Linked DNA regions of Cricetulus griseus. The protein of the gene in region 1 interacts with the protein of each later gene in a pairwise test. Links are inferred from orthologs where the notes say so. Each region holds a gene or a part of one and is shown on either strand. Other genes may lie near its edges.

Region 1 (13,302 bases):
TTGCCTGCATATATGTATGTGTACTGCATATGTTTATGTGTATACTGCATCTAAGGAATGTTGTGGAATATTAGTTTAAGATGTGCTACATTCCTTTATGCTATGGAATATTTGTTTAACGATGCAGATATTTTGCATTTGTTGAACTATGTAAAGTTGTGTTACTTTGCCTGCCTAAAATACCTGATTGGTCTAATAAAAATCTGAGCAACCAATAGCTAGGCAGGATAAAGAAATAGGTGGGGCTGGCATGCAGAGAATACATTGAAGGGGAGGAGCAAGAGAAGGTGAGAGGAGGGGTCTGCTCACCAGATTCGAATTCAGCAGCGGGACCCAACACACCCAGAATACTGCCAAGGCCCAGGTAGCAGTTCTGCCTCCATCCACCAGCCCAGGTAACCCAGGAGCTGTTTGTGGTTCCAGTTCTGCAGCCCTGCTCAGGGACACCTGACGCCAGGGGTCTGCTCACCAGATCTGAACTCAGCGGGATCCAACACACCCAGAGACTGCCAAGGCCCCAGTAACAGTCCCACCTCCATCCACGAGAAGAGGACAGACATCAGAGTATTGGAACTGTTTGCATCTACCAGAGGGGAACCTTGGTCCCACACCCACCAGGAGAGTTAGAGACTCCTGCTACACCCACCAGAAGAAAGGATGAGAAGAGGACAATGTAAAAGCACATTCAACAACAGAAAACTCAATATGACACCATCGGAGACTAGGAACTAAACACCAGCAAGCCCTGAGCATTACAATGCAGATGAAACAGAAGAGAATGACCTTAAAAACATCTTCATGAAAATGATAGAGGACCTCAAAGAGGACATGAGAAAAATCCCTTAAAGAAATGGAAGAAAAAACAAACCAAAAAATAAAAGATACCAACAAATCTCTCAAGGAAACAGTTCAAGACCTAAAAACTGAAATGGAGACAATAAAGAAAGCACAGTCTGAGGGAATGCTGGAAATAGAAAAGCTGGGTAAACGATCAGGAACTACAGATGCAAGCATAACCAACAAAATACAAGAGATGGAAGATAGAATCTCAGGAGTTGAAGGTACACTAGGAGAAATAGACTCATCAACCAAAGAAAATCTTAAGTCCAACAAATCCCTAACACAAAATATCAAGGAAATATAGGACACCGTTAAAAGACCAAACCTAAGAATAATAGGTATAGAAAGTGAAGAAATCCAACTCAAAGGGACAGAAAACATATTCAACAAAATCATAGAAGAAAACTTTCCCAACCTAAAGAAAGACATGCCAATGAAAGTACAAGAAGCCTACAGAACACCAAATAGACTGAACCAAAAAAGGTCTCCTCGACACATAATAATCAAAACACCAAACATACAGAATAAAAAGAAAATATTAAGAGCAGCAAAGGAAAAAGGTCGAGAAGGTGAGAGGACACCAGGAGCCAGCCACCCAGCCACAGAGTAAGAAGGAAAGAAAGGTATATTGAACAGAGAAAGGTAAAAGGCAGATGCAGAGGCAGAAGGTAGATGAGATAATGTAAGGAAACCTAGCAAGAAACAAGCCAAGCTAAGGCCAGGCATTCATAAGTAAGAATAAGTCTCTGTGTACTTATTTGGGAGCTGGGTAAGCTAGGTAGCAGCCCCCCCTCCCCAAAGTTAAATATATAATCGGATCCCCGGAACTGTAGTTAAGAATAATTATAAACATGTGGGTGCTATAAACTGATTCTAGGTCCTCTATAATAGCAAGTACTCTTAACCATTAAACCATTTCTCCAAGACGGGGTGGTGATGGTGCACACCTTTAAACCCAGCACTTGGGAGGCAGAGGCAGGCAGATCTTTATGAGTTCAAGGCCAGCCTTGTCTACTGAGTTCTGGGACAGCCTCCAAAGCTACAGAGAAACCTTCTCAAAACAAACATGTCTCAAAACAGGAGCTGGTGAGTGCTTGCCATGCAAACATTAAGACCTGAACTTAAATCCCAAGTAGGGCATGATATGCACATGTGCTGTGGGCAGATAGGACTGCTGGGGTTCACTAGTCATAGTCAAACTCCAGGTTCAGTGAGGCCTTGCTCAACGGGTAAGGCAGTGATCACAGCCAATACCTGATTGTCCTCTTTTGGCCTGACCATGTATATACACAAATGCCAGAGACAAACTGAAAAAAGCCTACCACAACGCAAGGTGGTTACTAGTAACCTCAGAAATCAGGAGTCCAACCTGGATCAAAGCTTTCCTACTACTGCCCAATGCTATTACCAAGTGTTTTGAGATCCAAGGCTTGGTTCTAAAGCTTTGATTCCATTCCCCAAATTACTTGGTATACTTAAACCTGCAAGGGCCCAACCACACCTACTAGAAGGTTGGCCCCTTGTGATATTTGACTAGGGTAATTGCTAAAGAAACCATTTTAGGAGGTTATATTTGTAATATAGAAAGAACTCTGTCGTATGGAGTTTAGGTTAAGTCAGATGGGTAACACCTATAACCCAAGCATCAAGGAGGCCAACGCAGGAGGACCAATCTGTTCTGCAGTGAACCACAGAAAGACCAAATCTGGATCCTCTGATAGAACAGCCAGTGCTTTTAACCATTGACTGAGTCACCTATCTGGCTTCCTGTGCTGATTTTCTTTGCCAAAACAAATTAACAAGTTTTGATTTAAGATTTGGAAGACAGGCATGCTCAGGAAATAATGAGGATAAGAACAGCACACCTCTGTAACAGAGCAACTGTACCCCAGATCATACTTGTTGTACAATGTTGCTAACTTTTGTCAAGCGGGAAGAATAAATTGCAATTGATTATTAGATGGGCCTAGGATACTCAGACTATGGTGAGTTATCTTCATGATTGATATGGGAATGCCCAGGCCACTATGGCTTGTGCCACCCCTGGGCAGGTGGCCCAGGCCAGTGTAAGAAAGCAAGAGAAGGGGAGCAAGGCAGAAACATTTCTCTTTGGTCTCCGTTACAGCTCTTGCCCAGAATTCCCTCTATGTTGAACTATGAACTTGATGCTGAAATAAACCCTTTTCTCTCCAAGTTGCTTTTGGCCAGTAGTTTATTACAGAAATAGAAAGCAAACCAAGACAGGGCCTAAGTATAAGATAAGCCCATGGTTTTAATATCACTTATCTAGGCCGGGCATTGATGGTGCACACCTTTAATCCCAGCACTTGGGAGGCAGAGGCAGGTGATCTCTGAGTTCGATGCCAGCCTGGTCTACAGAGCAAGTGCCAGGATAGGCTCCAAAGCAACACAGAGAAACCCAGTCTCCCCCCCCCAAAAAAAGTATCACTCATCTATGTAAGGAAGCCAAATTCATCCTCAAAATTTATTTATTTAAGAAACCTTCTTTCTCAGAACTCTTAACTCTGCAGCTTAAAGGGAGAAACCCACCTTAAATTACTAAACACCGTCACTCATTTACTTATTTTATTCGGAAATGTTTATAACAGTACATTGATACTAAACCTTCAGAGACAATGGATGTCATCAGTTTAGGCATCATCAGTTTATTATAAAAGGGAGGCACAGAAATTATTTACATGATGAATAGTTCAGAATGTCGGCGGAATGGGCAGCTTCATGTGATACCATTTCAACAGTGATTTCAGTCCGTATATTTTCCAAGAATGTCAGCATCTCTAAATAAGAAATAATCCTGTGAATAAAGAAACCACCAGTTAAGACAGTAAAAGCAAACACACAACTCATTTTAGCTTTATTGCTTGGTGGTAGCACGTCTTTAATTCCAGCACTTGGGAGGCAAAGGCAGGCAAATCTTTGTGAGTTCAAAGCCAGCCTGGTCTACAGAGGAGTTCCAGGACAGCCAGAGTGACACAGAGAAACCCTGTCTTGATTTAAAATAAAAATCATAGCTTTACTTACCTTGTCGTCTAGAACTACTTTGGTGCCTCCATATTCTGGGAGAAGAACTTTGTCTCCAACTTTCACACTGACCGGCTGAATCTCTCCACCCTTAAAAAAAATAGTTGCTTATTAGAAAGGGCATCTTGTTCACAAGACACACAATGAACACTTTCTTTCCGTACATACACCAGGAGCCTCCTGCCTCAGCTCTCTAAGTGTTGTTAATTATAGGCATGTATCAACCACACTAGGCTCTATAGACAACTTTTAAACCACATGAAATGTGCTCACTCAAATCTAGTATGTTGTTTGGTACCTAATTAGTTGTTAAGCAATATAATTTACATTAAATGTAGATCATCACAATATAAGCATCACTGTAGTTACAATTTGAAATAAACAGTGGCTTAGCTAAAACTGCCTTTCAGTGAACAGCTACGGTTGGCTAACATTTTAACTATTAAATATTAACACACCCTAGAGACCAGGTGAAATAAAGCAGCTTTTAATACCAAAATAGTAAATGGTCACATATGACTTTGATGAATAAAAATTTGCTATTTGTTTTCTTTATTCAATGTCCTTGTCCTCAAGGCATAGGCTTGGTCAGAAACTGAAGTAGCACACTACAGAGGTTTAGTTAAGTGGAAAACCCAGAGTATTTCCATTTCCCTTCTCAAATATGACAACTAAAGCTACCAGTGGCATAAGATTAAAACAATTTCAGTGCCTGAGTTAAGCCATCAGCCAGCCCCCATCCCCACCATTTCACCCTTTCTTTTTGGGGAAGGAGGAGACAAGTCTATGTAGCCTTGAGTGGCCATTAATTCTGGGTCCTTCTGCCTCAGCTCAGCCCCACCACCACCAGAATTCTAGTGGTATTATTACCACTTTCAATTCTGAAAAAAAAAAAAAAAAACAAAAACCCCACCACCCAGGGTTTATCTAACTGTATGATGTTTTGTCTATTTAAAACTGTGAAAAGTAGGTTACAACAAACTACCAAAGGTAATATATTTTGTGACGTTTTGTTTTTCCTTTTTAATTTTTTTTTTTGAGATATGGTCTCACCCTGTACCTCCTGATGGCTTAAAAGACTCTACAATCCTTCTGCCTTGGTCTCCAAAGTACCATGGCCACAAGGCATGAGTCACCATAATGGCAGTTAATCTCTGGAGTGTGTGGCACTGCAGAAAGAGCTCAGTACTGGAACCCAATTTAGGGAATCTCAACACTAGTAAAAAGGCAGTAACCCAAACATACTGAGGGCTGGAAACAACTCTGCAAACCAGCAGACATGCACATACAATGTCTTACACACACACACACACACACACACACACACACACTTCTCATGTGTACATTTTGCCTTTTTTTATAGAATGCCTCTCCATTCCTTAGAAAAATAAAACAACTCCACAATGGTTTTCCTTCATGCGCGGTTCTTTGTGAAGTTAAATTATTTCAAAAAAAGACATCTACTATTTTAAAAGCCACTTGGTAATCTAGGATTTTCTACTCCTTTCCTTCCATATCACATATAAGACTCAGTACTGCTGTAGTAGCTCCCAGTTACCTTTCCTTTCGAGCCTGATCCCACAGCCACTACTGTTGCTTGCAATACTTTTCCTTGAGACTTTTCTGGAAGCATAATGCCACCTTTGGTCACAGTTTCGGCGGCACTCCTTTCAACCAATACTCTGTCAAAGAGCGGTAGAAACTTTTTGAAAGCTTGTCCAGCCTGCGGAGAGAAACGTGTTCAAACGGACTGTCATTGCGTTCGCAGCGTCAGACCACGAACAGTTAATACCGCTGCATGCCTTAACCTATAACGGGTCAAACGTCCCAAACTGACAAGAAAAATCTAGGTGTGCCTTTAGAAAATATTCTTGGATGTTTCATACCCTGTATATTTTAGTGCGTGTGGGTGGGTGGGGGGGTGTCTTCATTGCCCATCAGCACCCACACTACCTTTAACCACAACCTTGGTCTCCTCCAAGGTCAAACGTTTTCCTTCTTTAGATTTCTTTTTTTAATTCTAGTAACGCCGGGGAGAGAGTATCAATTTTTGAGCTGGGTCATATATTCTCCAACACAGTATACGTCCATGAAAGCCCTGGCAGGGCAGGTGGGCTACTGAGTGTGCATCCGGGTTCCCGCCCCCTACCCCGGGCTCCTGCAGCACACGTGCGTGCAAAGAGGCCGTGGTGGAGAACCGCATCGGACAGGCCTCGCTCCTGCGGAACCCGGGCGGGCGCCGAACACTGCGTGGCCCCCTGCCCTGCCGGTGCTAAACCGGCACACAGGGGGGGACACCGTGGGTCGCGGGGGACCCCGACCCGCAGGCAGGCCTGCCAGCCCAGGGACACTCACCATGACTCGCGCCGCCGCCGCTCGGACTCTGCACTCGGGCCGCCGCTGCAAGGAGAGTCCTGAGGTCCGGCTCGGGACACGTGAAAAAGCCACGCAGCGCGCAGGCGCAGGCGCACGCGGCCCCCCCCCGCGAGCGTGAGAGAGGGCGGCCACGGCAGCGCGCGCGCCGATTGGTGGCGAGGACTCCGCGCAGGCCGCCGAAGGGGGCAGCCGGAGGCGGAAGAAAAGGGGCGCGCTTTCTAGGCTTTTCCAGGCGGCCCGCTGAGGTGAAAGAACGAGCCCTTCGTCCTCCTCCCGGAAATGACGCCACCTGACCCTTGACCCACGGGAGGCGCAGCGCCCTTCCGGAAGGTTCTAGAACGGAGCGAGGCCCAGGAACCAGCGTAGGGCGGCGGGAGAGGGTTGAGCCCGCGGGGCTGAGACCGCTCGGGTACGGGGGGGGCGGGGCCACCCGCGCCGCATGCTGATTGCAGGGCCCGGGCGTGGGAGGGAGCGGGGCGCGCGCGCACGCGGGGCCGCGGGGCGGGGCCGCGGAGGGAGGGGACTCGGACTCATTGCGGTGCGCGCTCTGCGCTCGGTCCCTCACTCGCCGCCGACGGCCTGCTTCGCCTCGTGCCCTCCCGCCGCCGCCCCGCAGGTACACGGCCTCGACGTGCATGGCGCCCGGGAGCTCGCCGGCCTGCTTCCGGCTGGGCCCGAGCATGGCGGGCTAGGGGACAAGGCTGGCAGCGACGCCGCAGGCTCTGCCGGCCTGTCCAGGCCCGACGGGGCCACGCGGGTTTCATCACGTGCGGCGGGGACCACGCGACCCAGGCCAAGCGCGGGAGCGAGGACGGGCTAGGGTGGGAGCCACTTGGGCCCTCTGGTGCCACCTGCGCCTGGCGCACTGCAGGACTCTTGTCGGAGGGTGGTCGCGGTCCCTTCTCGTCCCCTCTGGCTGCGGGGATGCGGCGCCTCTACTTTGACCTTGCCTGGGGCTCCTTGTCGGGCAGACACGTGGGGCCGCGCGAATGGGCTGAGCTGCGGTCCTGGGTTTTGCGGCCTTGCTAGTTGCTGTGCTACCGTAGCTCCGGGTGGACACCTGGCGTCACTTTTCCTGAGCGGGGTTTTGCACCGTCATGAGTACTTGTATAGTTCCCTGTGCTCTTGCATTTGGAACCTGCCTCGCTTACGCCAGCTTGATTTTTTTGCCCCCCCCACACACACTTTTGGAGTGGATCTGTTCCTAAGGCCGCTTTGCCAGTGAAAGATTAACTCGCGGTGGCAGGAGTGGGTGGCCATGGGGAATGGTTTTGTGTGCTAGGGCTGCAGGTCAAGCGAGCATGGGGGCGGCCTCCTTAATCCGTTGCTAGCAATTGATGTCCTGAAGCTGCAGCGCCGTGTGTGGCCCAGGCGTGGCGGTTAGCAGAGGACTGCCAAGCTCCAGTCTAGCTAGCCTCCATGTTCTGAAGCACAGGTGGACAAGTTTGTCCGTAACTAGTAGTGATCCTTTGCTTTTTTTTTTCCCCCCCTCTCCCAGAAATGCTTCGACTACCCACAGTCCTTCGCCAGATGAGACCAGTGTCCCGGGCGCTGGCTCCTCATCTCACTCGGGCCTATGCCAAAGATGTAAAATTTGGTGCAGATGCTCGAGCCTTAATGCTTCAAGGTGTAGACCTTTTAGCGGATGCTGTAGCTGTTACAATGGGGCCAAAGGTATCAGTATACTTTAAATCGTGTTAATAAAAGAATAGTATTCTGTAGCTGCAAATTAGACAGTATTTGTTAACAAGTTTTATGAAAATCTAATTTGAGTGTAGTACATGTTAAGTGATTTGGGGGTGTTATTTAGGAGTTTCGTTAGTTGGTGGCCTTAATACTGCTGCAGCCGATTTGGGGGACTTTTGTGCAACATGATGTAATAGAGTAGTAATAGCTCAAGGAGGATTTTCAAACTTTAGGCGTAATTAATCTTGTGTGAATGCTTGCATTAAATTTTGGATCCTTTCCCAGGAGTTAGAGGGTATAGAGGGGAAAGGACAGCTCAAGACTAGTAACACCTCAGAGTGTAATTGTAGATGTGAGGTTTTACTTAACTGTACTGAAGTATTACAGTATGCATACAGTAGATGCGATAGCATAGAGTTTAGATTTATTTATATTTTTATGTGCATTGGTGTACTGTCTGCGTGTATACCCATGTGAAGATCCCAGAACTGGAGTTACAATTGTGAGTTGCTATGTGGGTGCTGGGAATTGAACCTGGGTCCTAACCACTGTGGCATCTGTCCAGCCTAAGTTAATATTTGTGACTTCGTTTGCATTGTTCTGTAACTCACCATCACACATCTCCAGAACCGTTTTCACTTGCACATGGAAAAGGCTATCTGGTCTCCCATTTATCCCTCCATTGTGCATACCTCATGATTTCTCTGCCATTTCCACATTCCAAAAGTTTGGTTTGGGGTTTTTAAGAGTCTCGATAGCTTAGTCAGACCTCTAACTCGCTTTGTACCAAGACTATCCTTGAACTGATTGTCCCAGGTATGTAACAGTTTAGTATACTATTCATCTGGTGTTTATTGAGACAGGGTCTTTAGCCATAGCTGACCTGGAACTCCTGTGGACCAAGCAAGCTTGAACCTTGAATCATTGCTGAGATCCAAGGCTGGAGTCACTCATCTGTGTGGTTGAATAAGGAGCCATAGTACTTTGAGGACATAATTGGATGTGGGGCACAGTTGCTTTAAATTGACGTTAAAGCCATCTAAAGAGCTTCGTAAAGTGCTGTTTATATAGGTCAAGACAGAATAGCTTGGTTCAAATCCAAGTTGCCAATACTGTTGGTGTCAGTTTTGAAGTTTTGAATTGCATGAGCAGGAAACAGTAAGTTAAGAACAAACTTACTGGCTGATATTTAGTGAATGGATGTTCAAGTAAATTGTACTTAAAAGCAACAGTTAATAAAAAAGTAATAACAGTTCATAACCAAAACTCGTGTACAAGTGATGGAAGGGTGTTCCAGGATTGGTGATTGTCACCTGTGCTATCTTGTTTAATAGGTGGCATCTCTTTGGGTGGGTGGGGGATGTTATCTACTGTTGTACCTCAGAGTTCCTTTTGTCTATAGACCTAAGAATGTTGATTAACTTGACCTTTGAGATTCACGTTTCAGGACTGTTAAAAGTGACAACTTTGAAGTTTATGGTTGAGGGTTGTTATTCTGTCATTGTAGGGAAGAACAGTGATTATTGAACAGAGTTGGGGAAGTCCCAAAGTAACAAAAGATGGGGTCACTGTTGCAAAGGCAATTGATCTAAAGGATAAATACAAAAATATCGGAGCTAAACTTGTTCAAGATGTTGCCAATAACACAAATGAAGAGGCTGGGGATGGCACTACCACTGCTACTGTTCTGGCACGTTCTATTGCCAAGGAAGGCTTTGAGAAGATCAGCAAAGGGGCTAATCCAGTAGAAATCCGGAGAGGTAAGAGCATGTCATTGACCCTACAGAAATGAGAGTATTGTCTCATCTTTTTCCTTTCTTAATACATTTGTTGGTGTGTGTCCATAGACAAGATGGGAGTTGTCCTCCCTACCCTTAAGGGTCTCATTTCCTTAGGTGCCGTATTGGAAACAGGCAACATGATTGGATTAGTAGTAGCTTAAGAAGAATGAATTGAGTAGTGAGGGGTTTGGTTTTTAAAATTTCATTATTTTTATGGACATTGGTGTTTTGTCTGCATGCATGTTTGTGCAAGGGTGCCAGATCACCTGAAACTGGAGTTACAGGCTTTTTAAGAATGGGTGGCTATCCCTCTTAGCCCTCCCTTGTTTTCGGGGGGCGGGGGGTGTATATTCCATGCTAGTCTTAAAAGAAATCCTCCTGCCTAAGCCTCCTGGGTATTGGGATTACAGATGTGAGCAACCACTCAACATCTTGATCAAGTTTTCACAAAGTTCATGGTTTTCAACTTAAATGTGAAATTACAAATGATTGAGTGCATATCATGTCACTTGGTACAGTTAGGACAGTGCTGACATGAGAGCTTGCATATGAATGTTAAAATGAACCTGTAAGTTCATGCTTGGTTTGGGAGCCATAAGCATTGTACTAACATTCATTCTTGAACTAGGTGTGATGTTGGCTGTTGATGCTGTAATTGCTGAACTGAAAAAACAATCTAAACCTGTGACAACCCCTGAAGAAATTGCTCAGGTAAGGGTTTTATTTCCTGCTTAAAAAGTTGGGGGTTTTTTATGTTTGTGTTTTGGTTTTTCAAGACAGGGTTTCTTTGTGTAGCCTTGGCTGTCCTGGCACTTGATCTGTAGACCAGGCTGGCCTCAAACTCACAGAGATCTGCCCACCTCAACCTCCCAAGTGCCCAGATTAAAAGCATGCACCACCACTGCCCAGTTCTTTTTTTTTTTTTTTTTTTTTTTTTTTTTTTTTTTTTTTTCATTTCTTTTTTCTTTTTTTAAACATGGTTGTACAATTAGATTATTGGGGAAGATGTTCTTAGGTGTTCTCAATGTTCCCTGCCCTATATGGGATCAGACCTAATCTTTGAAACATAGTAGGCAAGTAAATAAGAGTTTTTATGTGTGGGGGGTATGTGTGTGTGCCATGTGTGTTATGAACCCATAGAAAGTGATATTAGATGCAGTTGCCAGCTAGTGTGAGCTGGGTGGTGACCTAAACACTAAGTCACCTTAACCACCAAGCCATCTGTCCAGCCCTGTTGGTATATTCTTAATGTGCCAAAGAATGGAAGGACCATTTAACCAGTACTTCATTAAAACTGATAAGCTGGGGGCTGGAGAGATGGCTCAGAGGTTAAGAGCACTGGCAGCTCTTCCAGAGGTCCTGAATTCAATTCCCAGCAACCACATGGTGGCTCACAACCATGCATTATGAGATCTGGTGCCCTCTTCTGGTGTGCAGATATATATATGGAAGCAGAATGTTGTATGCATAATATTTTTTAAAATATACATAAAATCTTTTTAAAAAAAAAAAACAGATAAACTGTACAACGTTTCTCTCCCCTGGGTTGAAGTGTCAATTTAGAAGGTCGAAGGGGAAAAGGGTTGAAAATACTGATCTTACCATTTAATTTTGAAGTAACTGGTTATTTCAGGTTGCTACAATTTCTGCGAATGGAGACAAAGACATTGGAAACATCATCTCTGATGCAATGAAAAAGGTTGGAAGGAAAGGCGTCATCACAGTGAAGGCAAGTGTGGGGTTTGATGTGTTCTGATAACACCTTCAGGGAGGTGTGTGTCAACTGTTTTCCAAACAGAAAACTTAATTTGTTTATGCCAGCACATTCATTGGGAGCCTTACCTCCCAGAATTAAACCATCCAATTAAATAAATATAATTGGCTCTCAGCTAGCTGTGAGTAGGAGAGAATGGAGCGAGGCCTCACTTTGTAGCCCTGATTAGCCCAGAACCATAGGCCTCAACCTCAAAGGGGTGATATTTCTCTGACTTGGCTTTGTTGTGGGGAACTAAAGGTGTGGGTACCTGGTGCTTCGGATTCCACAAGAAACAGCAGTTGTGAGTCAGCAGGTGGGTGCTAAGAACCTAACCAGGTCCTCTTGAACAGCAGCAAATGTTCTTTAGGTTTAGCTGCCCAAGTATTGTTTCTTTACTGAAATCATTCATCTAATTCTTATACTTTTCATAGGATGGAAAAACCCTGAATGATGAGTTAGAAATTATTGAAGGCATGAAGTTTGACAGAGGATATATTTCCCCGTATTTTATTAACACATCAAAAGGTAAGAGCGAGTCAGCAATGAATCTTGAAAATACGCTTTAAAGGTATCTGTCAGCTGTAGGCAGTGGGTTGGTACAATCTGTAAAAATTGAAAAGTTAATAGTTCACTAAATGAATGAGTAGCAGGTCTCTCTGTAGAAGTAAATTGTTAGTTTTCTCGGTGCTGTTAGAATTTGGTTTTATTGCTCACTGTTTTACAGGTCAAAAATGTGAATTCCAAGATGCCTATGTTCTGTTGAGTGAAAAGAAAATTTCTAGTGTCCAGTCCATTGTACCTGCTCTTGAAATTGCTAATGCTCATCGTAAGCCCTTGGTCATTATTGCTGAAGATGTTGATGGAGAAGCTCTAAGCACACTGGTTTTGAACAGGTGGGCTGGGTGGTTCATATTTTTGGGTGGAAGGTGATTTGGGTTGCTATTTGAAATTCCATGTTTGATCTCTTAAAGTGGTAGTGTACATTGTGGTGCTCTATGCATTGAATGTAGTGGTTTGTTGGAGACAGTGTCAAGCTAGTCTTAAATGCACATAACCCTTCAGCCTGTACCTCTCACAGCTTCCCAGAGAGAACTGTCCATGTGTCCTTTAAAAATTCTGTCCAGATGTCAGTCTGGAACGTAAAGGCAGCAGTTCTTTAAGTAGATGATTGGCTTGGGACAAATTCATATGAGTGAGTGCCCCATCTCATCTTCAGACAGAAGTTGCTGGGGTACCTGAGTAGTTGAGTAGTGCCAGAACTTACCAGGAACCAAAGGTATTTTCTCCCAACTGCCCCTTTAGTTTAAATGTCTTTTTGGTTTTTCTAGACAGGGTTTCTCTGTAGGTTTGGAGACTGTCCTGGAACTCACTTTGAAGACCAGGGTGGTCTCGAACTTAGAGATCCATCTGCCTTCCAAGTGTCAGTTTAAATCTTACACAATTAATTAAATGTTCTTTACAGGCTAAAAGTTGGTCTTCAGGTGGTAGCAGTCAAAGCTCCAGGTTTTGGGGACAATAGGAAGAATCAGCTTAAAGATATGGCTATTGCTACTGGTGGTGCGGTAAGTAAATCTTACTGCTGTGCTCACTGAAGTTAGTGCTTCCAGCTTGCAAATAATAGAATGTACGCTTCACAAATAGATGTGGCTTTCTTTCTATTGGGTATTTGGAACATGGGGAATAATTAGGGTCACATTTCTAATTTGCTGAGTCTGGCCTAAGAATGAACATGATAAATTCAAATAAAGCTAGTTCCAATTCCTATAATAGTGATTGTAATCAGACCTTGTTCTGGGATACCAGTGGCCCTGACATCCAGGA
Region 2 (11,372 bases), about 160 Mb from region 1:
GTCCTGAACAGCTCAACTGCCAATACAATACATGGTGCACATCCAGACAAATAGACACACTGGCATAAATAAAAACAAATACAGTCCTTTAAGAAAAAAAGCATAGACTATAATTCCACTGTAAGAAACTATCTAATTAGGATGAGTGATGAGCAAAGGGGTCCAGACCAGGCTGGTGAAACCCACAGAAACAGCTGACCTGAACAACGGGGAGCCCTTGGTCCCCAGAAAGATAGCTGGGAAATCAGTATGGGACTGATCCAGATCCCAGGAATGTGGGTGTCAGTGAGGTGACCTCAGAAATCCATGGGGCCTCCTGTAGTAGTTCAGAATTTATCCCTAGCTTAGGAATGGACTTTGGGAGCCCATTCCACATAGAGGGATACTCCCTGGGCCAAGACACACAGGGGTGGGCCTAAGCCCTATTGCAAAGGATATGACAGACTCTGATGACCCCTATTGAAGGCCTCACCCTCCCTGGGGAACAGAAAGTGTATGTCATAGGTAGGGTTTTAGTTGAGGGAGTGGTAGGGGAGAAGGGGAGGGAGAGGGAACTGGGTTTGACATGTAAAGCAATCTTATTTCTAATTCAAATAAAAAAAGAAAAAAGAAACTAATTTTCTATCATAAATGACTCTTCCTTGGCTAACAATGTTCAAGGCCAAGTGAAATGACACATGGCAATCCACACCTTAGGGATACATCATAAAGAGCAGGACGACAGTCTCTCAGAGAGCCAAGTTTCCGTGATGTATTTAACTGCCTTGAAACATGAGACTAACGGATACTTTGAAATGTTTGGCAGGAAGAATCTGTTTATTTAGATTCCGAGGTGAATGAACATATCCACTGGTTCCAGCGAGAGTACACGAAAACAGACAAGGACTGGAGAGAAATTGACAGGAGGATGAGTCAGACTTTGGAAATCAGAAGAAAGATGATTGGCTGCCGAACACCTCTCAAGGACATTCTTAAGATGTTTCCTTTCCTGAAGTGTCCTTACCAGGTAAGCTACTCACTAGAACAGTCTCTGGTCTTGGTGTCACGTTTGTTTTTCTCCCTCTTTCCTCTGGAGTAGTGGCCAGACAGCCTGGCAAGACAGTGGGTGTGTGAGTCCCAGGACAGTGTGAGGAGGACTGTTGAGATAACCAGTGCTGTTGTCTTTGGGATCAGAATTCCCTGTATAAGCACACTCCAGGTTGGGGGTGAGGTGTCTGTACTGTTAGGGTATTTTTTTCACACGAATAACTCCATTTTGCATGCATTTGGACAGTAGAGATGGTTTGTTCAGAACACTTTCCAAGTAACAGTTTTCTTTGTCTTCTATAATATCAAATCATTTTATAAAGTGTCTTAGTGTTTCTATTTCTAGGATAAATCACCATAGCCAAAAGCCAATTCATCAAGAAAGGGTTTATTTGGATTTCATTTTCACATCATAGTCTGTCACCAGGATTGTGGAACCAAGAGCCAGGAACTGAAATGGAAGCCATGGAAGCATACTGCTTATTGGCTTGCTCACCTTGGCTTTCTCGGTTTGCTTTCTGAGCAAGGACCACCTGCCCAAAAGGTGTGGCGCTCTCCACAGTGAGCTGAGCCATCCCACACTCGCCATCAAGACAATGCCCTGCACAGGCCTGCCTATGTGCCAGTCTGATATGGGCATTATCTCAGTTTAGTTTCCCTCTCCTCAGATGAGCCTGGGTTTGAATCAAGTCGAGAAAAATCAACCAGGGTATAAAGTGATCTCACTGTTCCACTGTCTGTCACCACCCAGAGTTTATTTGCTACTGATACAGGTTCTGAAGAAGAAAGAGAAGTGGCTGGGGGTGGGGGGAGGGAGCGGCAGTCAACCCTGACACTTCACCATCTTATAAACATTAGTATCCTCTCCTTTAAAACTTTTTCAAAAAATATTTTTGTTTGTTTTTGTTGTTGCTGTTGTTTTTCGAGATAGGGTTTCTCGGTGTAGTTTTGGAGTGTGTCTGGGAAACTCATTCTGTAGACCAGGCTGGACTTGAATTCATAAAGATCTGCCTGCCTCTGCTTCCCTTAACAGAAAAACTTAAAAATTAATTATAAAAATCACATTAGATTGTATACAACTTTAACTAGAATTCTGCTCTTTAAGGATAAGATGAAAGTCAAGTGAGGCAGGGAGTTAGGAGGGAAGAGAAAAAAATTAAATGCTTGAAGTTTCTAGAGCCCCGTGAGGTGCTGTGACTTTCTCCTTCCATGAAGCAGTCTCAGCATCCATCCCTTGGTTAGGTGAAAGTGGGTTCTGTGGTATGAAACTGTTGTCCCAGCCAATCAGAAGCTGAAGCAGGAAGAGCTTTTACAACAGAGAGTTTAAGACCAACTTGGGCAACCTAGTAAGACCTTGACTCAAAACCAAACCCATAACTTCACTGAAATACCTAAGAGCAAAGTGAATAAAGCATGGGAAAATGTAAAGAACCTGAGTTTTGATTTGCTCTACTGGTGTACGATTACTGACCTGGAGTTTCCACCGCCAGCCTGGATAGAGCTAAGGAACAAAAATAGATAGGCAGTTGCTTGCAGGCCTTAGGGACTCAGATCCTTGGTAAGGGAGGCTTGCTGTGCAGAGCTACACTGAGGTGGCTGTACCGAACAGGTGGGGACAAGCAGCAATTAGTGGTCCCACTCAGGCCAGCAGGAAGAGCCGAGAGTTTGAGAATGATAGACAATTGTTGTGTGCTGGGCAGGATTTTGGAATAAGTGGGGGACATAGGAAGAAGCTCACTGTCTGAGATCTGGTCTCCTTAATGCCTTGAAAACCGAGGCTGCTGCATGACTGAGGGCTGATACAGGAAGCATAAAGTGTTGTTAAGAGCTTGGGGCTGGTGTGATGAGTTGAAGCACTCAGGCACTCACATGGCATCCAGAAGTCTATGCCTTGTGAGTAAGATTCACCCCTAGGTTTCATTTTTCCCAGTCAAGGGCAAAACCCAAAACAAACTTTCCCAAACAAATGATGAAGTCTGGCAGGTCAAGAGGAACAACCAGTTCTTAATTGAGCTGCCTCACAAGAGCCATGGTCCCTTGATGAGGACATGATTTCCAGCTCCGAATGACTTAACTTTCAGACCTAATCCTTGGTCAATTTATGATTTACCAAAAATATCTAAAGAATTGTAAGGAATGCTACAATTTTAAGAACAGTGGTGACTAAATTAACCATATTGGTGTAGATAACGAGGGGTCTGATGGCTTCATTCTGTCAACAGGAGGAGTGGCAATAGGGATGGAATTCTCTGGGAGTCCAAATTTAGGAAATTCTGGGAAAGGTAGGGAAAAGTAGTTTGGAGTCAAGAGGCTTCCATCAGTTTTTCCTTTGATTTGGGGCTTAACTCTTCCAGATGTTTATTGTTTAACTCATCTTACAGTCTCTAAAACACTCCCTTAGCGTCCTAAGATTGGCTACTTTCTTTTTTTAAAAGATTTATTTATCTATTATGTATAGTGTTCTGCCTGTATGTATACTTGCACACCAGAAGAAGGCACCAGATCTCATTATAGATGGTCGTGAGCCACCATGTGGTTGCTGGAAATTGAACTCAGGACCTCTGGAAGAGCAGTCAGTGCTCTTAGTCTCTGAGCCATCTCTCCAGCCTGATTGGCTACTTTTCAAGAGTAGTGTTCCTGTTTTTTTCTCTTTTGGGATGCTAATGAAACATAACTGTCCTAGCTTGGTTTCTGTTGCTGTGATAACACAGATCCAAAACAATTTGGCTAATAGGTTACACAGTCCATCATCAGGAAAAGGCGAGGCAGGGACTAAAGCAGAAACCATGGTGGAATACTGCTTACTAGCTTGCCTCCCAGATTTGCCTTTCTTACAGAGCCCTGGAAGGTGCCATCTAGGCCCTCTTACATTAATTAGCAATTAAGAAGACACCCACAGACATCCCCACTGTCCACTCTAATAGAGGCCATTTCTCAATTGAGAGTCTCTCTTCCCTGCTATGTCTAGATTTATGTCAAGTTAAGAAAACTGAACTGTAATGGTAACAATGTGGTTTATATAAAGAAATGTGTCTAGACTTCTAATCCTGTGACCCAAACAGCCAGTATACATGTGTATTTACTTTTTGTGATCCTCATTTAGTAGAATTTATATCTAAATTTTTAATTTGTAATTGGCCTTAATTTCCTTTTTTTTTTTCCCGAGACAGCAAGACAGGGTTTCTCTGTAGCTTTGGAGGCTGTCCTGGAACTCACTCTGTAGACCAGGCTGGTCTCAAACTCGCAGAGATCCACCTACCTCTGCCTCCTGAGTACTGGGATTAAAGGTGTGTGCCACCACTGCCGGGCTTGGCCTTAATTTCAATTCTAGTATTGGAAAACATCCAATTCCTTAAAATAGAACAAAAGGAAGAAAAGTTTCCTGAAGGTTTTTTGTTTTTTTTCAAAACAGGGTTTCTCTATATAGTCATGGCTGTCCTGGAGTCACTCTGTAGACCAGGTTGGCCTTGAACTCAGAGATCTACTTGCCTTGCCTCCCAAGCACTGGGATTAAGGTGTGTGCTACCATTCCAGGCTCCAAAGTTTTAATTCTGTATCCACTCTTTGTTTTACTATCCACTTCAGACTTTCATTCTTTTTCTCCTTGTCCTGCATCCAATACACTGAGCCACCAAAAACTCAGGTATATACTCCAAGTCATTTGTGAACACTTAATACAATGTTAATGAGAGATCCACTCCCTTATATTCTGAACACTAGTAACCTTCACATGTGGCCTGACATACGTATTTCTTTCTTCTATCAGATGTTCCGAGAAGTCCAGCTTCTTACGAAAACAGATATTTATAAGAAAACAAAGCATATTCTGGAATCCTACTCAGAAAATATACTGTCTGCCTTTTCAGTGGTGGACAATCCAATCAATACGGCACTGCAAGAGAAGATGAAACACTATACAGATGAAGGAGTGCGGAAGAGTCAGTAAAGCCCAGGGATGGGGCGGTCTCAGCCATTTCTGCAACTATAGACAGAAGTGTTTTGTTGCATTAAGTGAAATTTAGTGAGACGGAAAACAGCTTTTCAAACAGAGAGAGAAAAAAGCTTGGGTTAAAAAAGTACACTCAAGGGGCTGGAGAGATGGCTCAGAGGTTAAGAGCATTGACTGCTCTTCCAGAGGTCCTGAGTTCAATTCTCAGCAACCACATGGTGGCTTACAACCATCCATTAAGGGATCTGGTGCCCTCTTCTGGTGTGCAGATATACATGGAAGCAGGATGTTATACACATAATAAATAAAACCTTAAAAAAACTTCACTCAATATTATAAATTATATTATCGGCACCAGTACCCTGTAATCTTACAAGACACACTACAAGGCCAAACACATTAAATCATCCTGGCAAATGGGCACAGCCCAGAACTTTGGTCTCTGTTGGCCATGACCTAGAGGGTAAACCTGAAGTTTGGAAGTTTTCATTAGAAAAATCTTTGTTAAAAATGGTTGTGAGGCGTGGGGAGATGATCAGAGTAAAGTGTTTGCAGTGCAAGCATGAGGGCTGGAGTTCTGGACAGTTGTGCTGGCCATTTGCAATCCCAGTACTTGGGAGGCAAAGACAGGATTCTGAGGGAAGCTGGCTATTAGCGCAGGACTGACTGAATGTGCAGACTCTAGGTACAGCAGGAGACCCTGCTTCAGTAAATAAGTAGAGGAAGACACTGGGTGTCAACTCTGGGTATCCACACGCACTTGCACGCACACCCACACGTATGTAAAGATGCAAACACATATGGACACAGACCACACTTACACATGCAAAAAATGGTTGTGAAATACTCACTTGAGAAGATTTGCTTTTCACACTGGAAGGTAGCAATAATTTAATAAAAAGCAAATCCCACATTTTCATGTTAGTTTTTCTTACCATTTCCAAAAGCCCATTTCTTTTACTTGGACATGCTTACTCTGACAGATATGAAGATGACCGCCACATGTTTACTCCTCCCAGATGTTTTTGGGGATGATCCCAGCCTTTTTGTCGTTGTGAATGAGAAGGTATGTAGTATATTTATGGCCATTCATTTTATACCTTCGTATAACTTGAGTATAAGGTCAGTGGTCTACTCAAGTCATTTCATTGTATTACCATTAGGCTATATTGTAACTAGCTCATTTACTGCTAACATTGTGTGACGTGCAGGCATGCTTTATTATTTAGCTGTTTGACATATCAGTGGGTAGTGATGTCATTCCTCTTTTTTTAGGTACATGCATCCACCCCGGTGTTGGGAGTTAAAAACCCTTTCCACATCAATGGCTGTGAGTTTTCTCTGTATCTAGACAAAGAGAAGCTTGTCAAGGTGGATGACTGCATCACAGCCCTGGCTGCTTTGGTGGCTGCTTTCCATGTGTTTGGGATTGAGTGTCCGAGAAGACTGTCCCAAACCTTTAACTTCCTGGAGACATTGATCTTTGATGTGCAGAGTCCCTGTTTTCCATCTTTGAAAGAAAAGGAAATCAGATGTCAATCTCCTATCACTTAAGACTATCCAAATTGACCTCCCAGGGTGGCCGAAGCTTCATAAACAACTGCAAATTGATTTAGGGTTGCCTTAGAGGTAAGGATTGAAGAATCATGTTGTCTCAAATGTCAGTGAATTTTTGATGCTTCTGTCCTTAAGTTAGATACTTAAGCTCTCTGTTGTGTTTGGTAATAAAATACTACTAAAAAGCTTTGAATATGATCTGAGTTTGTAGGTATTCTATGGCCAAGGTTACTCATTCAGGAGTGTCAGTTTTTAAAGGACATTATGAGGTGAAATTCTCCCAGTTAGGGTCTGACCCTGAATTTAACTCAGCGCGTGATGGCTTGAAAACCCATGAGTTGGACAACCTCTTTGGTCTCTTTGGTTAGAACCCTGATTAGAAACATCTTGAACTTTAATGTTTTAGAAAGAAGTGCACCTAGTCCATATTGCAGTGATGAGACAGCAAAAAGATATCATGGTTGATCACAATGAATCCTATGCCACCCAAGAATGTTCAGTGTTTTGTTTTTCTCGGAAGACATACTGCTTCCGAGTGAAATCTTCTGTTGCCGTTTTGTTTTTCCAGATAGGGTTTCTCTGTGTAGCCTTGAGTAAAATCTTTAATAAGATTTAAAAATCTCTTTCATTATAGCATACACTTTAAATTTAAATTAGAAAGGAAAAAAATTCTCAGTGTGGATGAAAACTACTTGGGCTAAAAATGTGATTTTTAAAGGGTTTTTATTTGTTTTTTTAAGACTTATCCTACCATCGAAGTACACAAATACACAAAAATACTCAATATTACAGTCCTTAGATCGCTATGCTGTGCCCCTGCCACACTCACCTTTTCTTTGTGGTGTGTGGACTTGTTCGTGTGTGTCTGTGTGGGCCAGTGGGCCGTCTGCTATATTCCTGTGTCTTCTTGTATCACTACTCTCCCCACTTCCTCTTCTTTTTTTTATTAAAAAAAAACCAAAAACACAAAAAAGAAGTATGGGTGTTTGCCTGCAGTCTGTACACCGTGTATGTGCCTACTGCCTGTGGAGGCCAGAAGAAGGGGTTGGATCCCCTGGAACTGGAGTTAAAGGTGGCTGAGATCCAAGTACTCTGAACCATTGGCCTACTTCTCTAGCCTCACTACCTATGCTCTTTTGAGGCATGGTCTCTAACTAACTAAACTTGGGATTCATAAATTCACCTAGGCTTCCTAGCTTCAGGGATCCACTTGCCTTTGTTTCCACAGCACTGGGGTTACAGATATGCCTGATTTCTACACAGGTGCTGGGGATCCAAACTCAGGTCCTCATGTTTTGTAACAGGCACTTTAGCATCGAGGCAACTCCCAGACCTATGGTATCTCTAATGCTATTTATTCGTTATCGCTTTGTAGTGGAGCAGATCAAGCCCAGGGTCTTATAAATGCCAGGTAGGTGTTCAAATATATACCCAGGCCTTATATAGCTTTTCTTAGATATGATATTATTCCTGGTTTTCTCTATATCTCCTATTTAATAACCTCCTTAAAAATCATACATATATAAAAAGAATCTGTAATTAAGATTTTATTTCATTCATATCACATGTAACAAGTGCAAGTTAATGTACAAATACTGAACACAACGAAAAAGGGAAAAATAACAATAAAAAGCTTATTTAGCAGATTCATGCAAAGAAATGAATTGGACACTGCAGATGTCAGGGACCCTGTTTTACCTTGAATCATGACAAATGCAAAGGACTGATAATAAACTCCTACTATGGCACATCAAAGGAAGTCCTACATCAGAAAAACATTAAAGAGTTTATGGAAAGAGGTGGGACTCTCCCCAGAGTTCCGACAGCATGCTACTAAACTTCCTATTTTTAAAGCAGTCCTTGGACAAATGTCTAATCCTGGAATTAGAAAGTACATCAAAAGACTGACAAAATAATTTACCTTCCCCCTAGAAGTGCATGCTTACAAAAGAAACAGAGCCAGCTATGAATTTATAAATAACCCAGGGCTTTCATTTAAAGTGCATCCAGATGCTTAAAAATCAAGGCAAAATATTTCATAGGAAAAGGAATCTTTCCACATTGGAGGTTCCCAAATAATGGCTTTGGGAACCACTTCCTCGACTTGTGAGCATGGAGAATTTTGGGGTCTGCTGGTGTTAACAATGTCACACCAGGTCTGTGCAGTAACATCAATGCCCTGCTTCTCAGCTCACTCTGAGGAAATCCCCTGGGTCTGGAGGACCTATGACTGATGGGATCTCTTGAACGATTAGTGTTTCCATCAACAGAAAGAGTCCTTTTCTATAAAGCACCAGTTACTTCCATGTCATTTACAGAGATGCACACAATAATCTCCTAAATCAAGCTCCTGATGAACATCCCCTGGAATGTAACCGAATAATCCTCAGATACCCACTGGTGTAAACACATGGGCACCATGTTGTGCACAACTGATTCCGCCCAGATACACTACTTCATTCAAACCTAAGTAGGTTTATATATTTTATTTCTCAATTCTGTTCTTTTATATACATTTTTTTTGGTAATAACAGTAAAGATGCTGGTGAAAAGTAATTTGTTTAACAACTCATAATGCGTGCAAAAGTAAAAACATGGATTCAAAGAAAGATAGTATTTACAGTTCTTCAGTCCCAACAAATGATGACACACAGTTAGGCAATATCGTGACTCGCAAAGTTACACTTGGCTAATGCTGCAATTCCAAATATGGCACAGGGCGAACACGACTGACACTAGTCCCAGGCTCAACTCAGCCAGGTTTCAACGGATTTGGTTTAGGTTGAAATTCAGTTATATAAAAAGGTTTCTGAAAGTATTGAAAAAAAGAAAGTGTACATGAAAGAGAATCCAACAATGTTTACAAAATGCCGAAGTTCTTATTTTGCCCCCCATCCATAAATAATGAAGCCCCCATTTCCCCACCCTCCTCCCACCTCCAAAAGATTTACAAAGGTAAGTTTAGCTCAGTGAGCAGAACTGAAAGATGACCGTTGCTGGACAGCAGCTGGTGAGAAGCCCAGGCGTTTCCTAAGAATGTATATGCAGTCCGGAGGGACGGATGGAATCCCATAGCGCTGCTCTTGGGATCCTGGAGACTTCTCAGTCAGGAGCTAGAACCGTCCTTGTGCTTTGAATAAACATGATGAGCATTAAAGCGGAAGCTGATGGTACCCAAATTCACTGTCATCACAGTTCATTGTGGGAATTCTTCTCCGCCGCTTTAAACATCAGGATAGAATTGAAAATTTTGAGAGCTGGGCCCAGCTTAATGCTCATAATTTTCACAATGTCTGTCTGGGTCATAAGTAAAAACGCTTCTCCATCAATTTGCTGAAATAAAGGAAGGAAAAAACCAGACACAAAAGAATATGGATTAACCAGATGCATTGTTGTGGGGCTATCCAAAGCTTTATGCTGTACTATTACCTGACTTCACAACTATGCTAAGAAGACATACACCAGAGATCATGAACACAACATTCCCAATCTATGGGTCTCCACATACCCAACAAAGTAAAAGTCAATCGTCTGAAACACCTAACAGATTTAGCCTTCTACCGTGCAGGAAAATAGAGAGAGAACTTTTGTCAGCCATGGCCATAGTTAGCCTCCATAAGCAGAAGAGAAACACAAACAGTATGTGTGGAAGGACGTAAGGCCAGTGTTAAACATCATGGACTACAGGCTGTGTCTTCTGCTATTGGTGTAATTGTGTACATTCTCCTCTTCCTTGGCTCATTTTAAGATGAAAAGCTGAATTACAGAATAGGACACTTAGAAACTCACAGCCACAACATGACGAAAATGATTATTTGGGTTTAGTGCGGTGACAAATACACATACACACACACACACACACACACACACACACACACACACACACTTCAGCATTTAAGGAATTGGACGGTCTTAAGATAGATTAATTTCTTCTTCAAGTTCCCCATTTTGAACAACAACAACAACAACAAAAAGAAAGACACTGTGTTTTAAGTCTCAGAATAATTAGAAGCTTTGACCACAGTGAATGGCTTGATGGGGTTTAAACTGTATCTTCTGAAAATTCTTTTTTGTTTGTTCTGTTTTGAGATAAGGTTTCTCTTCATAGCCCTGGTTGTCTTGGAACTCATTATGTATCTAGGCTGGCCTTGAACTCACAGAGATCCACCTGCCTCTGCCTCTGGAATGCTGTGGTTAAACGTGTACACCACAACGCCCAGCTTCAAATTATTTAAAAAATTTTTTCTCCATTTTTATTTTATGTGTATTGGTGTTTTGCCTGCATGTATGACTGTGCACCACATGTGTGCACTACCTGTGAAGGACTGGAGATGGTATCTGATTCCCCTGGCACTGGAGTTATAGACAGTTGTGAGCCTCCATGTGCGTGCTGGAAATCAAGCCTGTGTACTCTGGAAGAGCAGTGCTGCTAACCACTGAGCCATCTTTGCAGCCCCTCCTTTAATTCTGTTGAATTCCTAAACCCTAGTTGTTCAGATGTGAACTTATTTGGTAATAGTGTCATTGCAACTAAGTAGCAACTGATCACATGGGTCAGGTGGGCTGCTGGTCCAGGAGGATTAGTGTCCACAAAGTAAAAGTTTTTTGGTCCTTAAAAAAGGTAAATTTGGACACAGAGACAGTCACATAGGAAAACAGAAAGAGAATTATCTATAAGCTGCAGAAGGGGCTGGAATAGATATTAGAAGGCTGCTTTCTAGTCTTGCCTCCACAATTGTCAAACAATGCATTTCTACTGTTTAAGTGACTGAGCTATGCTTTGTCATGGTAGCCCCCTACAATCCCGAATTCCTTGGAATTAACTAATTGCAGGATTATG

Evidence for each region.
Region 2: the proteins of Hspd1 (region 1) and Samd3 interact in binary tests that used the Homo sapiens proteins (3 or more experiments, as listed by UniProt). The two-hybrid records come from large-scale screens. The link is inferred for Cricetulus griseus from reciprocal best matches to the Homo sapiens genes HSPD1 and SAMD3.

What each region holds. Positions count from the first base shown.
Region 1 is NC_048595.1:409,522,933-409,536,234, reverse strand, and holds the start of Hspd1 (60 kDa heat shock protein, mitochondrial), read left to right. Parts: upstream 1-6,749; 5' UTR 6,750-6,874; exon of another isoform or gene 6,875-6,955; intron 6,956-7,756; 5' UTR 7,757-7,758; coding exon 7,759-7,932; intron 7,933-9,451; coding exon 9,452-9,704; intron 9,705-10,353; coding exon 10,354-10,436; intron 10,437-11,358; coding exon 11,359-11,454; intron 11,455-11,912; coding exon 11,913-12,006; intron 12,007-12,205; coding exon 12,206-12,374; intron 12,375-12,943; coding exon 12,944-13,043; intron 13,044-13,302. Other genes in the region: MOB-like protein phocein, read right to left, coding at 5,441-5,605, 6,238-6,240. UniProt on the Homo sapiens protein: Chaperonin implicated in mitochondrial protein import and macromolecular assembly. Together with Hsp10, facilitates the correct folding of imported proteins.
Region 2 is NC_048595.1:245,300,095-245,311,466, forward strand, and holds the end of Samd3 (sterile alpha motif domain-containing protein 3), read left to right. Parts: intron 1-805; coding exon 806-1,006; intron 1,007-4,792; coding exon 4,793-4,964; intron 4,965-5,958; coding exon 5,959-6,041; intron 6,042-6,250; coding exon 6,251-6,529; downstream 6,530-11,372. Other genes in the region: L3mbtl3 (lethal(3)malignant brain tumor-like protein 3), read right to left, coding at 9,722-9,865.